Arabidopsis thaliana: one gene and its partner. The protein of the gene in region 1 interacts with the protein of each later gene in a biochemical or structural test. Each region holds a gene or a part of one and is shown on either strand. Other genes may lie near its edges.

Region 1 (6,962 bases):
TATAAGAAAAAGCCCTAGCAGTCTGTTCTTCTCAACTCAAGTTTGGGCGAATCCACCATGAAAGTAATCTTCTACGCTTTTAGTGTTTTTTCTAATAAGCTTAACTTTTGTTAGAGCTCATCTCTAATTTTTATGGTATAAACCAATTGTTATGCTATTTTTTAAAAATATTGTATAATGTTATAGTATACTCGATAACTATGTCATAAAAGTGGCAAAAACTTTTCTAGTGAAGAAAACATATCAACTCACTTTGATTTCTTTAGGGGCTCAGCTAAATCTAGTTTTAATGGTTGCAGAACAAAATGAAAATAAAAATTTTAGTATCTCAAAATCTAGTTTCTATTTTTTTTTTGTGACAGTAATCAATGATTTCAAAATAACCAAAAACCTCGTAATAAGATTCAATTGAATCTTAAAACTACACAACTTTCAGAACTAAAGAATGACGAAAAACGAAATAATAGAGGAGAAGTGGAGGAGCTACTACACAACTATTTTCATTTTTCTAACCAATCAGAGCGCACCGGACTACGCCCACTCGCACCAACTTCGCGTCACGCGCTCCGGACCACGCCCACTCGCATCAACCTCGCGTTGAGCGCGTGTCGTCGATTTCTGTAGGGGTAAACCCACAAAATCATGCCTATTTTACATCTACTCGCTTTGTTTCCAAAACAGCCTCGAGTGACTTTTTCTTTTGTTTTTTTTTTCTCAAAACCGTACTATTCTAATACAAACCGAACCAAAATTAATTTTCATTTCACAACCATCTAAACCAAACAGAAATCACTTGTAATTTCAAAACCTATGTACGCCGAACCGAAATCTATTGTCATTTCATCAAAACCATGTAAAAAGCTTCTTCGATTGTTTTAACATGCAACTGAAAATAACAATCCTAATTTATCAACAGAGAAATATAGAGATACCAACGAAACTATGGGGATGACAAGTTATCATCTTATCCACATCTCTGTCCAGTGTGAGTTTCACGATCGTTGATTTAATAGGTAACAAGGACCAGAAGCTGCGGCAGCAATGAAAGCTGATCTTGTTTCAAAGCCACCGCCAAGTCTTTTGGTTTTGCATACCGCTTTCACACATTGGAAGACCAAGGAACATGAGACACATACTTCTGCTGACCTATATAGGAATCATAAGTAACCACCAATGTTGGCATAAGCAGAGAGTATGAAAACTTTTGTTACTAATTTAACATAAAAACAGTATGATAACAAAATGAATACATGCGTAAACTCTGCTTCTTCTAAGACACATATATACTAAAAGTTCCCCATTTGAGGCTCCATTTAAGAATGAAATTGAACAATTGAGGTTCAAATTTTCTTACTTGTCCCACAGATGTTTCCACCAATGCAAACCACTTGAGCTGTTCAATAAAAGCCTTGCAACACTTGGGATATAATCGGAAATTAGATGACAATAAAACGAACCTCTGAGATATTCGACAAGGTATTTCTTAACTTGAGTAAGGTCTGAAACGATTTAACTACTCTACCTTTGATTTTGAGAAGATGATTACAGTTGTGATTTTGGTGGAGACAAAAATGTCCATCTATGTATGTTGCTAGCCATCTTTTTTCAGATACTTTTGTCTTATTTTCGAGTTACAAGTTACAAGGCACTATGCTCTGTAACTAATTTTGCATGTCTTCCACTTATTGTGTTGTTGTGTCTTTTGGTGGATTAAGCTAAGAGATCAACAAGACAAGAAAAAACCAACATTTCTGTTCTGATACGTGGATTGCTGGTTAAATACGGTTATATAGATGTTGGTTTAGTGGTTTAATTCGTATTGTATACTTTACAAGTTTGACTTTGTATTTTTCAAAAAAAAAAAAAAACCTAGCAGTCTGTTCTTCTCAATTAAGTATGGGCGAATCCACAGTGAAAGTAATCTTATTCTCCTTATGGATTTCTTCTTACGCACGACTGTGAAGTAGAAAGCTCACCATCTCTCTTAGAAGAAGAAGAACACACTGTACATTGGTTCAAGATCAATTTGGCTTGGCAGATGCCCTGTTGTTCTGGTACAAACATTTGGTTCTCCACTAAGATTTCTCGATTTAATTCGGTTCTGATTTTAACTTGCCAATTTAAATCATCAGACCGGGATCCGGTTGTGCAGTTATTCTTTATTCGGACGGGTGGTGGCAGTGGCGGCGATGGGAGAAAAACAAAGGAAGCTGCTTGTGTTGTATGCCTCTCAGACCGGAAACGCTCTTGATGCGGCGGAGCGTATTGGCCGCGAAGCAGAACGCCGTGGACTGCCAGCTTCTGTCGTCTCCACCGACGAATTCGACACGGTATGTGTGTAGTAAAACCAATTTGATTTTAAAAGCTCGTTACTTTGTTTTGGAAGATGGTTTGCTTCGTTTTTATATGATGATTGCTAATATGTTTTGGAAGCAAACCCCTTTCAATTGCAAAAATTGTTGATTGCTGATATGTTTTCCCCTCGCCAATAATCAGCTGTTAGCGCAAACTCTCGACATAAAAGTGTTTTCCTTTTTATCATGTGTTGTTTTCTGCAGAGTTCCTTACCTCATCATGAGGAGGCTGTTGTTTTTGTTGTCTCCACTACAGGGCAAGGAGACTCTCCTGATTCCTTTAAGGTTCGTTTAAAGTCCTGAAATTTGTTACCAATTAGTTTATTCCTGTAAAACGCTTTTAATTAATCGTAGCTTATTATTGTTCATTGTCTTTTTCAATCATTCAAGGCATTTTGGAGGTTTCTTCTTCAAAGAAATCTGGGAAACTATTGGTTGCAACAAGTTCGCTATGCAGTGTTTGGACTAGGTGATTCTGGTTACCAGAAGTACAACGTAAGTTCTTCTGCCTCTTTATATTCAGTTTCACTTTGTTTTAACATTCCACATGTTTCGTTATTCCCAAGTTTCTCCAGTTTTGTTTTAATCTATTCATCAATGTGAGAAGAAAAAACTAGGCTTTACTAAGGAAGAATGATATTAGCAAACTTTCCTTTCTATTCAGGGTTATTTCTTTTTGTAAAAAGAATCCTCATTGCCAGAAATCGTGGGATGATTTATTCTCTGTGGCACAAATTCATGACATGATTTATATTCAGTTTCGCTTTGTTTTAACATTCCCCATGTTGGGCTATTCCCAAGTTCCTCCACATTTTTTTTGATGTTTTAATCAATGTGAGAAGAAAAAACTAGGCTTTACTAAGGAAGAATGATATTAGCAAACTTACCCTTCTCCTTTCTATTCAGGGTTTTTTATTTTTGTAAAAGAATCCTCACTGCCAGAAATCGTGAGATTTGTCTGATTTATTCTTCTGTGGCACAAATTCATGACATGATTCTCTTTCTGATGGCTTTAGTTTGTAGCAAAGAAGCTAGACAAAAGATTATCAGATCTTGGGGCCACAACCATCATTGAAAAAGGTCTAGGAGATGATCAACACCCATCAGGGTATGATACGGTATATTAAAACAAATAAAGAATCCTGCTTTTACATAATATTCTTTGAAATCAGATGAACCATTTGGTCAGTTGAAGATATTGTATCCACATTCTTACTGTTCCTGGTATACTACTATAAAGTCCAGTGTTAGAATACTAAGTTTTCAGTTTTGGTGTTTTCTTTATTTTCAGATATGAAGGAACCATTTGATCAGTCAGTTGTATCTACATTCTTACTGTAGTTTTATTAGTCCAGTGTTAGGATACTAAGTTTTCAGTTTTGGTGTTTTCTTTATTTTCAGGTATGAAGGAACTCTTGATCCGTGGATGCTTTCTTTGTGGAGGACATTATATCAGATCAATCCAAAATACTTTCCTAAAGGTCCAGATGTGAAAATTCCTCAAGATGAAGTAATTGATAAGCCTAAATATAGGATTTTATTTCATAAGCAGGAGAAATTGGAGCCTAAATTATTGTCAGATTCAGGTATGCCAAAATTATTGAGTGGATACTTGGCTTCATTTATGTTAATTTATGACTATGTTGTGCTACTTAACATTGAATTGCCTACTTGCTAATGGTAATTGCTAGAAATGTTGGTATAAAAATCATTTTGAATGAATCTGCTGGAAGTAGGCTCACAAATGTTATGTTTCAATTGGCTCGTGAAACTAATTTCTCTTGCATCATGAAAAAGGTTAGGTACCATATTACATGTTTTTGGGAATTTATCTTGTTTAATATGCCTCTTATGTTTTTGCAGATATCATACAAAGAGCCCGTGGAATGTCCCCAGGAAAATTATTCAAGGACAAAAGTAAACCAGACTGCTTTCTCAAGATGGTATGCTCATCCTGTTGCCCAACAAAAAATTCCTTTTCTTTTTCATTCTGATATGCTAGTCAACCTCACTGGTTATGCTATTCCAGTCCTCTGTTACCTTGAATCTGGTGTGTTGCTTGATGATTAACATGTTTTCTTAAAATATCTGATTTTGCCTTTTGGTATGCATTATTATGCTAAGCCTAGATGATATGAGGTTTATTCCCTTAGCTTGCCTTAACATTCTAATCATGTAGACCCGCAATGAAGTCTTGACTAAAGCTGAAAGCACAAAGGATGTCCGCCACTTTGAGTTCCAGTTTGTTTCTTCTGTAAGTACTTTGCTGTCACTTACTTAGGTCAAAGTTCAGTCGATTTTGAGGGTGATTTCTTATTATCCTCTTTGGTTTTCTACTCTTTTAAGACTATCGAATATGAAGTTGGCGATGTTGTTGAGCTTCTTCCAAGCCAAAATTCTTCAGTGGTAGATGCGTTTATAGAACGCTGCGGTTTAGACCCAGAATCATTCATTACAGTAAGTAGCTCCACTCTTGTGATATAAAATTATCTCAGATTGTTATTCAAAATAAATCCCGAGAGTTATTTTTTTTTTCAGGTTGGTCCGCGAGAGACAGAGAATAGTAGTTTTAGTGAAGAAATGATTACACAGATCCCTATTAAGCTTAAGACTTTTGTTGAATTAACAATGGATGTTACATCCGCTTCACCTCGACGATACTTCTTTGAGGTAAGAACCCTTTAATTTCAATCATTCAGTTCTAATGCATTTGAATTTCAAATCTATGAAAGTCCTTTGAGTTTTATGAGACAAGTATTTGATGGACACCCTTGTAATGTATGATGTATCATCTCTGTTCAGATTATGAGCTTCTATGCAACAGCTGAACATGAGAAGGAAAGACTTCAATACTTTGCCTCACCCGAGGGGCGGGATGATCTCTACAATTACAATCAGAAGGAAAGAAGAAGCATTCTTGAGGTAAAATAGCACCAGATCTCACAGGTTCATGATTCGTCTTGAATATGCATTCACTCTCTTAACCAATCGTATTGCTAATGCCTATGTAGGTGCTAGAGGATTTTCCTTCCGTACAAATCCCTTTTGATTGGCTAGTACAGTTAGTCCCACCGCTAAAACCAAGAGCTTTTTCGATATCTTCGTCTCCTTTGGCCCACCCTGCCGCAGTACATTTGACTGTAAGCATAGTATCATGGATCACGCCTTATAAGAGAACTCGGAAAGGTCTGTGCTCCTCTTGGCTTGCAAGCCTCGCACCTGAACAAGGTTAGAAGTTTGTTTCTTCTTTACCATAACTGTGAATGGCTCAGTTCTCTATTTCTGATATGTTTTCTTTGTCTTCGGTTGTGGTTAGAGGTAAACATACCGGTTTGGTTTCACAAAGGCTCCCTTCCTGCTCCATCTCAGTCGCTTCCGCTCATCTTAGTGGGACCCGGAACCGGATGTGCGCCATTCCGTGGATTCATAGCTGAGAGAGCCGTACAAGCTCAGTCTAGCCCGGTTGCCCCCGTCATGTTCTTCTTTGGTTGCAGAAACAAAGACACAGACTTTCTATACCGCGATTTCTGGGAGTCTCACGCAAGAGAAGGAGGCATGCTCTCTGAAGGAAAAGGCGGTGGCTTTTACACAGCGTTCTCTAGAGACCAACCAAAGAAGGTTTACGTGCAACATAAGATCCGCGAAATGAGCAAGAGAGTTTGGGATTTACTCTGTGATGGAGCCGCTGTTTACGTGGCGGGCTCGTCGACGAAAATGCCTTGTGATGTGATGTCGGCTTTCGAAGATATTGTGTCGGAGGAGACAGGAGGAGGATCAAAGGAGGTAGCTTCACGGTGGCTTAAGGCTTTGGAGAAGACAGGGAGGTACAATGTTGAAGCTTGGTCTTAACTCTCTAACTTCCTTCATATGTAATCTTATTACATATATGTTCTCTGATTATTTTATTGCTGGCACATTAATTTTTATTTTTATTTTGATAATTCATACAAATTAATTAAAAGTGAAGATGATGTGTCGAAGGTTAAGGTTGATATAGATTTAGTTTTGAAATACATATTTTTTTGTTGGTTTGTTTGTTTTTCAAAATCGTTAATTGGATAACACTAGATATTAATTTCTGTTTAAATTTAAATATCACCAATTAAGTAACATGTGTCATGTGATTCTAATTAAAGAGTAAAACTGTTCATTTAGGATTTTTTTAAAATCAGATTTTATAATCAATGCAAAACCTCAACTAGTCTAAATTTCTGAAGAAAGTAGTTTGCTTTTACTTTTTGTATGGAAAGTAGATGACACTGACACGAAAAAAAAAGAGATTAATTTCAGTATTAAACGAAAAAATAATTGCAGAAGCACAGAATAATCGGGCATGCGTGAGTAACAAAATAATTATTCGTCCTCCATTAACCCCATAAAAGCAGTGAGATTTCGATAAAAAAAAATGTGATTTGGAAACAGAAAAAGGAGTTTTCAAACTTACAGAAAAACATTTCTTATACGTCTAAAATTCAAAAAGTTCAAAATACAAAGTCATCTATATAATAATCTAAGCGTAATTATATTATGTTCTTTGATTATCATTATTATATAGAATTTTGTTATTTTTAAAGGTCAACTTATTTTCTGTTTGAAGCTCCATTGGCA
Region 2 (4,550 bases), on another chromosome or scaffold:
TTTATAAGTAACATTTATCTTTCAAAGAAGTAATAGCATAGTTATGGTATTTAGTAATTGAATGTTTATTTCAGATTAAAAGATAATACTCACAAACTTTTTGATCGTTTTGTTTATGAACTTTTTATATGTTAAGTGATATACAAAATAAAATTATAATCGTTTTGTTCTAATGAATGCATATGTAGTTACATTTAGAGGTGTCGAATCCACTCATTCTCTGTCTGAATGTTCTTTTTTTTTTCTTCTTTTTTAATGTGTAAGAAAGGGATGGTCACCTATTTTGAGTTATGGACACACAAGGCCAAACATGTGTGTCGGGCGTGCGACCCATCGGGACGGTTTGTTGGAAGAGATGAAGAAAGCTCGATTGGGCGGCTAAACAACCATATCTTCTCCATGCTTAAAGCTCGTTGTCCTCTCGAAGACAAAACGGCTTGTGCCATCAAACAAAGCCGCGCACTGCTGTCACATATCAGGTTTGAGAATGATGTGTCTGCTTTCGAGACTTTAATTACCTCAGAGAGGCATTTCATGACGATTGTTGATTTGTTTCTTTATATTTTGATATATGGAAGATGTGTCCTTTTGTTTCATTATAAGACCAAAAAACTGCTAATTTTGTTTTCTCCTATCAAACGTTAATTAAAACAAAACTGTTTTATTAGTTGCGAAATCCGAAGTATTTCTACAAGTAATCACAGTTTTTTTTTTTTTTTTTTTTTGGCGCAAACAGTGAATTTTAAGATTAAACTTGTGAGAAATAAGTGAAAGCAAAAGATTAGAAAATGTAGCACTCACTTATAGATGGTTGAATCATCGAAATCAATATATGACAGAAAACTTACATAAAAAATCGTTAAGAAAAGAGGAAAACAAGAAAATTTATTTTATTTGATTAATTATAGAAATGATGATCAATAATCATCACCAAACTATAGGTGTATAACAATGACAAAGTTTTTGTAACTACGGTCCGTAGCCACCCATGAATGGATAATAACAACGACAGACAAAGCCTTTACAACTACGAAAATAGAAACCGACACCCTTTACCATACAACGACGTACACAATCGTAACAAAAGTCATCTTCAACTGTTGATGGGCCTTCTACCACCTTAATATCAGGACGCTCTCCTTTTGGGCCCGGTATTATCACCACTTTCTTGTTCTTCGATTCACCTATTATTATACAACAAGATTATTATTAACTAAAATATTATTAGAGAAAGAAAATATAGTTAAATTATTGATATACGTTTGATTCTAAGATTAAGTTATAAATACTTACATGATGAAACTAAGATTAGAATAGTTAAGAAACAAACAATTGTCTTCATTTTGTTTTCCTTAGAAGTTATTAATATGAGATAGTGTCACAATGTCATATATATATACCTTTTATTTATGTTACAAAATACAGTAGTTAACGTTTTTTTTCTTAAAAGTAGTTTTTTTTTTTTTTTCATATTAAAATGGGCACTAAGCCCGTGTGTCTAAATGGGCCGTATCTATTACTTTTGGATCCGAACCCGTTTTAAAAAACACAATAAACAATCGGGTAACCCGTTTTTTTTTTTTTTCCTGATTTCTCTACGTAAACCCGGTTTGACCAAACCGCGTTATAGCAGAACCAAGGAAAAGGAAAGAGTCGGCGAAAAAGATATAAAAAAGCCAGCGAGAGAGACAAAGGTCAGAAGATTTGATTTTTCTTATTCCTCTTCAAAGGCAAACAATTTACACAGCTATATATATATTTTTAGGGTTTTTGAGTATCTCGCGAGGTTTTACATAGATTTCTCCATTATGGTAAGTTAATGTTTCTGTTGTCTATCTTCAATTTTATTTTCTGATTGTTTGTTGTTCCTCAGATCGATTTCTGTTTTTGTGTATCTCTAAACTTTTTAGCCTTGTGTTGGGTTGCGCGAATCGATTATTTGTTTCTCTTGATTCATTTGCATGTCATAAGAGCTTCGGGAGAAAAAAATTGCTTCTTTAGGTTGTAAAAAGCAATAAAAGTTGTTAGCTTTTTGTGTTTGTAGCTTGATGATCTGTGGATTTTATTTTCAAAGTTTAGTCTTTTAATGTTTTTGGGTTTTTTGGTTTGTAGGATTCGATGATGAATCAGAAGACTGTTTTGGCTGTGACGGATGATGTGGTGTTACCTGTTAGCTCTGTTTTAGCTATAATGAAAGAGCTTGGAAAGGAAGTGATTGAGAGTTTTGATCCTCTGATTATTACTCAAGCATCCACAATAAGTAAATCTCTGTTCCTAATTGTTCTCCGATTTTTTTTTTTAGCTCAGGTTATGAAATAGTTGTTAGACTGCTTTAGTTAAGCTTGTAGTATGGTTAGTCTGGTGTGTATGTAGATAGGAAGATTCGTGTCTGTATATGGAGAGATGAGCAATTTTGTAGGGTGAGAACACTTGAAGACGACATGCTGTGGGATATTCTTTTGTGTCCTCTTCTCTTTATGTTGGACTATTGATTATTTTTGCAGATCAGTTTCCTTTGGATGCTTCCTCTGTGGAGGCGGTATTAGCCATTTCCAAAACATCTGATTTCCCAAGTGATAAAATATGTGGTGAGTTCTCAAGAATCTTGAAGCCTGGCGGCACGGTTTCTGTGTGCAAAGTTTTGGAGGGTGAAACGGGAGAAATTCAACAGGTTTGTGTCGTGTATCTAGTCTATGTATAATGGGGTGTCTTTGAACTTTTCTTTATTAATCTTATGGCGTCTTCCTTGCAGACCATTCAAAGGAGAGTGACATTGGCTGGTTTTCTTGAGCCACAGTGTCTTGATTTGAAATCAATTAAATTGTCTACGTTCAGTTTATCCTTTGGGGTGAGCACTTTTACACGTCCTGTCTATCTTCTCTTTCTTTTAGTATGAGGAAACGTTTTTTCTTGAACGGAAATAAGAATATAAGCTTGCTTTTTCGGTTCAGGCTTATTCTAGGCCTTTAACATGAAGGATAAAAGATCTTCATTCTACTTATCTGTCAAACTTGCATATATACTCTCACTTTGTCTCATCATATAACAGTTAATCATGTTGTCAAATGCAGATTAAGGCAAAGAAACCTTCTTGGAAGATTGGTTCATCATTTGCTCTCAAAAAGCCTGTAACAAATCTCTTTAAGATTGATCTAGATGACGACGTGGATCTTATTGATGAAGATTCTCTTTTAACAGAGGAGGACTTGATGAAGCCACAGCTTCCTGTTGGTAATTAAAGACAGCCACATGATCTTTGTTATCCTTATATCATTCCTTGTGTTTAAGATATCTTGCATCTTTTGCAGCCAGCGGTTGTGAGACCACTAAAAAAGCTTGCAAGAACTGCGTCTGTGGTAGAGCTGAAATTGAGGAGAAAGCTGTGAAGCTGGGCCTCACAGAGGATCAAATCGAGAATCCACAATCATCATGCGGCAGCGTAAGCTTCTTTACCCATCTCTTTCTCAGTATGCATTGGATTTTTGGTTCCACAAGACTGAAAATTTCTTAAACAATTCTTTCAGTGTGGGCTCGGTGATGCCTTCCGCTGCGGTACATGCCCTTACAAGGGTCTGCCACCCTTCAAATTAGGCGAGAAGGTAACTGAATCCTTTATATCTATCACCATTGTAAAGTCTTGTTAATCCTTTTAAGAATACACCTTATTCATGTAACTTTTCTTCCTCTTTAGGTAACCCTATCTCAAAACTTCCTTGAAGCTGACATATAAGCATGTGAAAGGCATCTTCATACATGGGTGTTTCTCGCCGAGGCCAAAACCTTTTGCTAATCGCAGAGTAGTTTCATCATTTACTTTGTGCCCTTTCGTATAATTTGTTTGTTGGTACTTCTTTTATTTTGTGGCTCTAAAAGCTTGTAGAATATTGTTTGGGTTGCCCACAAAGCACACACCTTAGTATCAATGAAGAACGGTTTTGCATTGGTTAAATAATTATTTCTCTGTCTGGCTTGGACCTTAGTTTTGCAAACGAATCAATGCATTAACATCAGAGCTTGTATTATGTGCATCACTGTTTCTTTGGTAATGTGAGCTCTGAAGATTCATCTGTCGTAATCTGTACGAAAAGCACAATACGTAAATTTGATCTGACAGATGGATCTATAAAAAAAACAGTAGTACAACAAAATGTTTCTCGCCACTTTCCCTGGAAAGAAACTAGTCAGGAGACCAACTAAACTCAACCCCCAAACCGAAGTATAACCTAACCAACAGTTAGACAAGCTTCGACTACAAGATATACAGGGTAGATCAATGGAGAAGTAGCTGAATTTCTACAGAATCCCAAGTATCCGAGTTTAGGAGAAGCCTCAAAAGCCTTTCTTAGCAGTATCAAACTCCTCTAAGCTGAACTTCCAACTGCTCTATTCGCATAGCCAAATCATGCTTCCCGCCATTCTTCAACCCATCAGTAACCATATCAAAGCACCGTGATATCGGAACCAAACCCATCTCTGTCATCTCAACCAAGTAATTAGCCGCATCCACAAATTTCCCACCACGACCACACATTGTAATCAGCATTGTATAA

What was found. Proteins that work in one complex are often made in the same cells at the same time.
Region 2: the proteins of AT3G02280 (region 1) and AT5G18400 form a complex in vitro, tested with the Arabidopsis thaliana proteins (one study listed by BioGRID).

Annotation. Positions count from the first base shown.
Region 1 is NC_003074.8:451,457-458,418, forward strand, and holds AT3G02280 (Flavodoxin family protein), read left to right. Parts: upstream 1-1,872; 5' UTR 1,873-2,054; exon of another isoform or gene 2,055-2,132; 5' UTR 2,133-2,189; coding exon 2,190-2,330; intron 2,331-2,558; coding exon 2,559-2,639; intron 2,640-2,744; coding exon 2,745-2,849; intron 2,850-3,370; coding exon 3,371-3,462; intron 3,463-3,755; coding exon 3,756-3,940; intron 3,941-4,217; coding exon 4,218-4,297; intron 4,298-4,533; coding exon 4,534-4,608; intron 4,609-4,700; coding exon 4,701-4,811; intron 4,812-4,892; coding exon 4,893-5,024; intron 5,025-5,156; coding exon 5,157-5,276; intron 5,277-5,365; coding exon 5,366-5,582; intron 5,583-5,670; coding exon 5,671-6,203; 3' UTR 6,204-6,413; downstream 6,414-6,962. UniProt on the Arabidopsis thaliana protein: NADPH-dependent reductase which is a central component of the cytosolic iron-sulfur (Fe-S) protein assembly (CIA) machinery.
Region 2 is NC_003076.8:6,092,135-6,096,684, reverse strand, and holds AT5G18400 (Cytokine-induced anti-apoptosis inhibitor 1, Fe-S biogenesi), read left to right. Parts: upstream 1-1,604; 5' UTR 1,605-1,808; coding exon 1,809-1,811; intron 1,812-1,910; exon of another isoform or gene 1,911-2,001; intron 2,002-2,112; coding exon 2,113-2,260; intron 2,261-2,504; coding exon 2,505-2,671; intron 2,672-2,752; coding exon 2,753-2,848; intron 2,849-3,071; coding exon 3,072-3,231; intron 3,232-3,308; coding exon 3,309-3,439; intron 3,440-3,524; coding exon 3,525-3,599; intron 3,600-3,691; coding exon 3,692-3,730; 3' UTR 3,731-4,003; downstream 4,004-4,550. Other genes in the region: AT5G18404 (uncharacterized protein), read right to left, coding at 279-536; AT5G18403 (Putative membrane lipoprotein), read right to left, coding at 970-1,184, 1,294-1,342; AT5G18390 (Pentatricopeptide repeat (PPR) superfamily protein), read right to left, coding at 4,352-4,550. UniProt on the Arabidopsis thaliana protein: Component of the cytosolic iron-sulfur (Fe-S) protein assembly (CIA) machinery. Required for the maturation of extramitochondrial Fe-S proteins.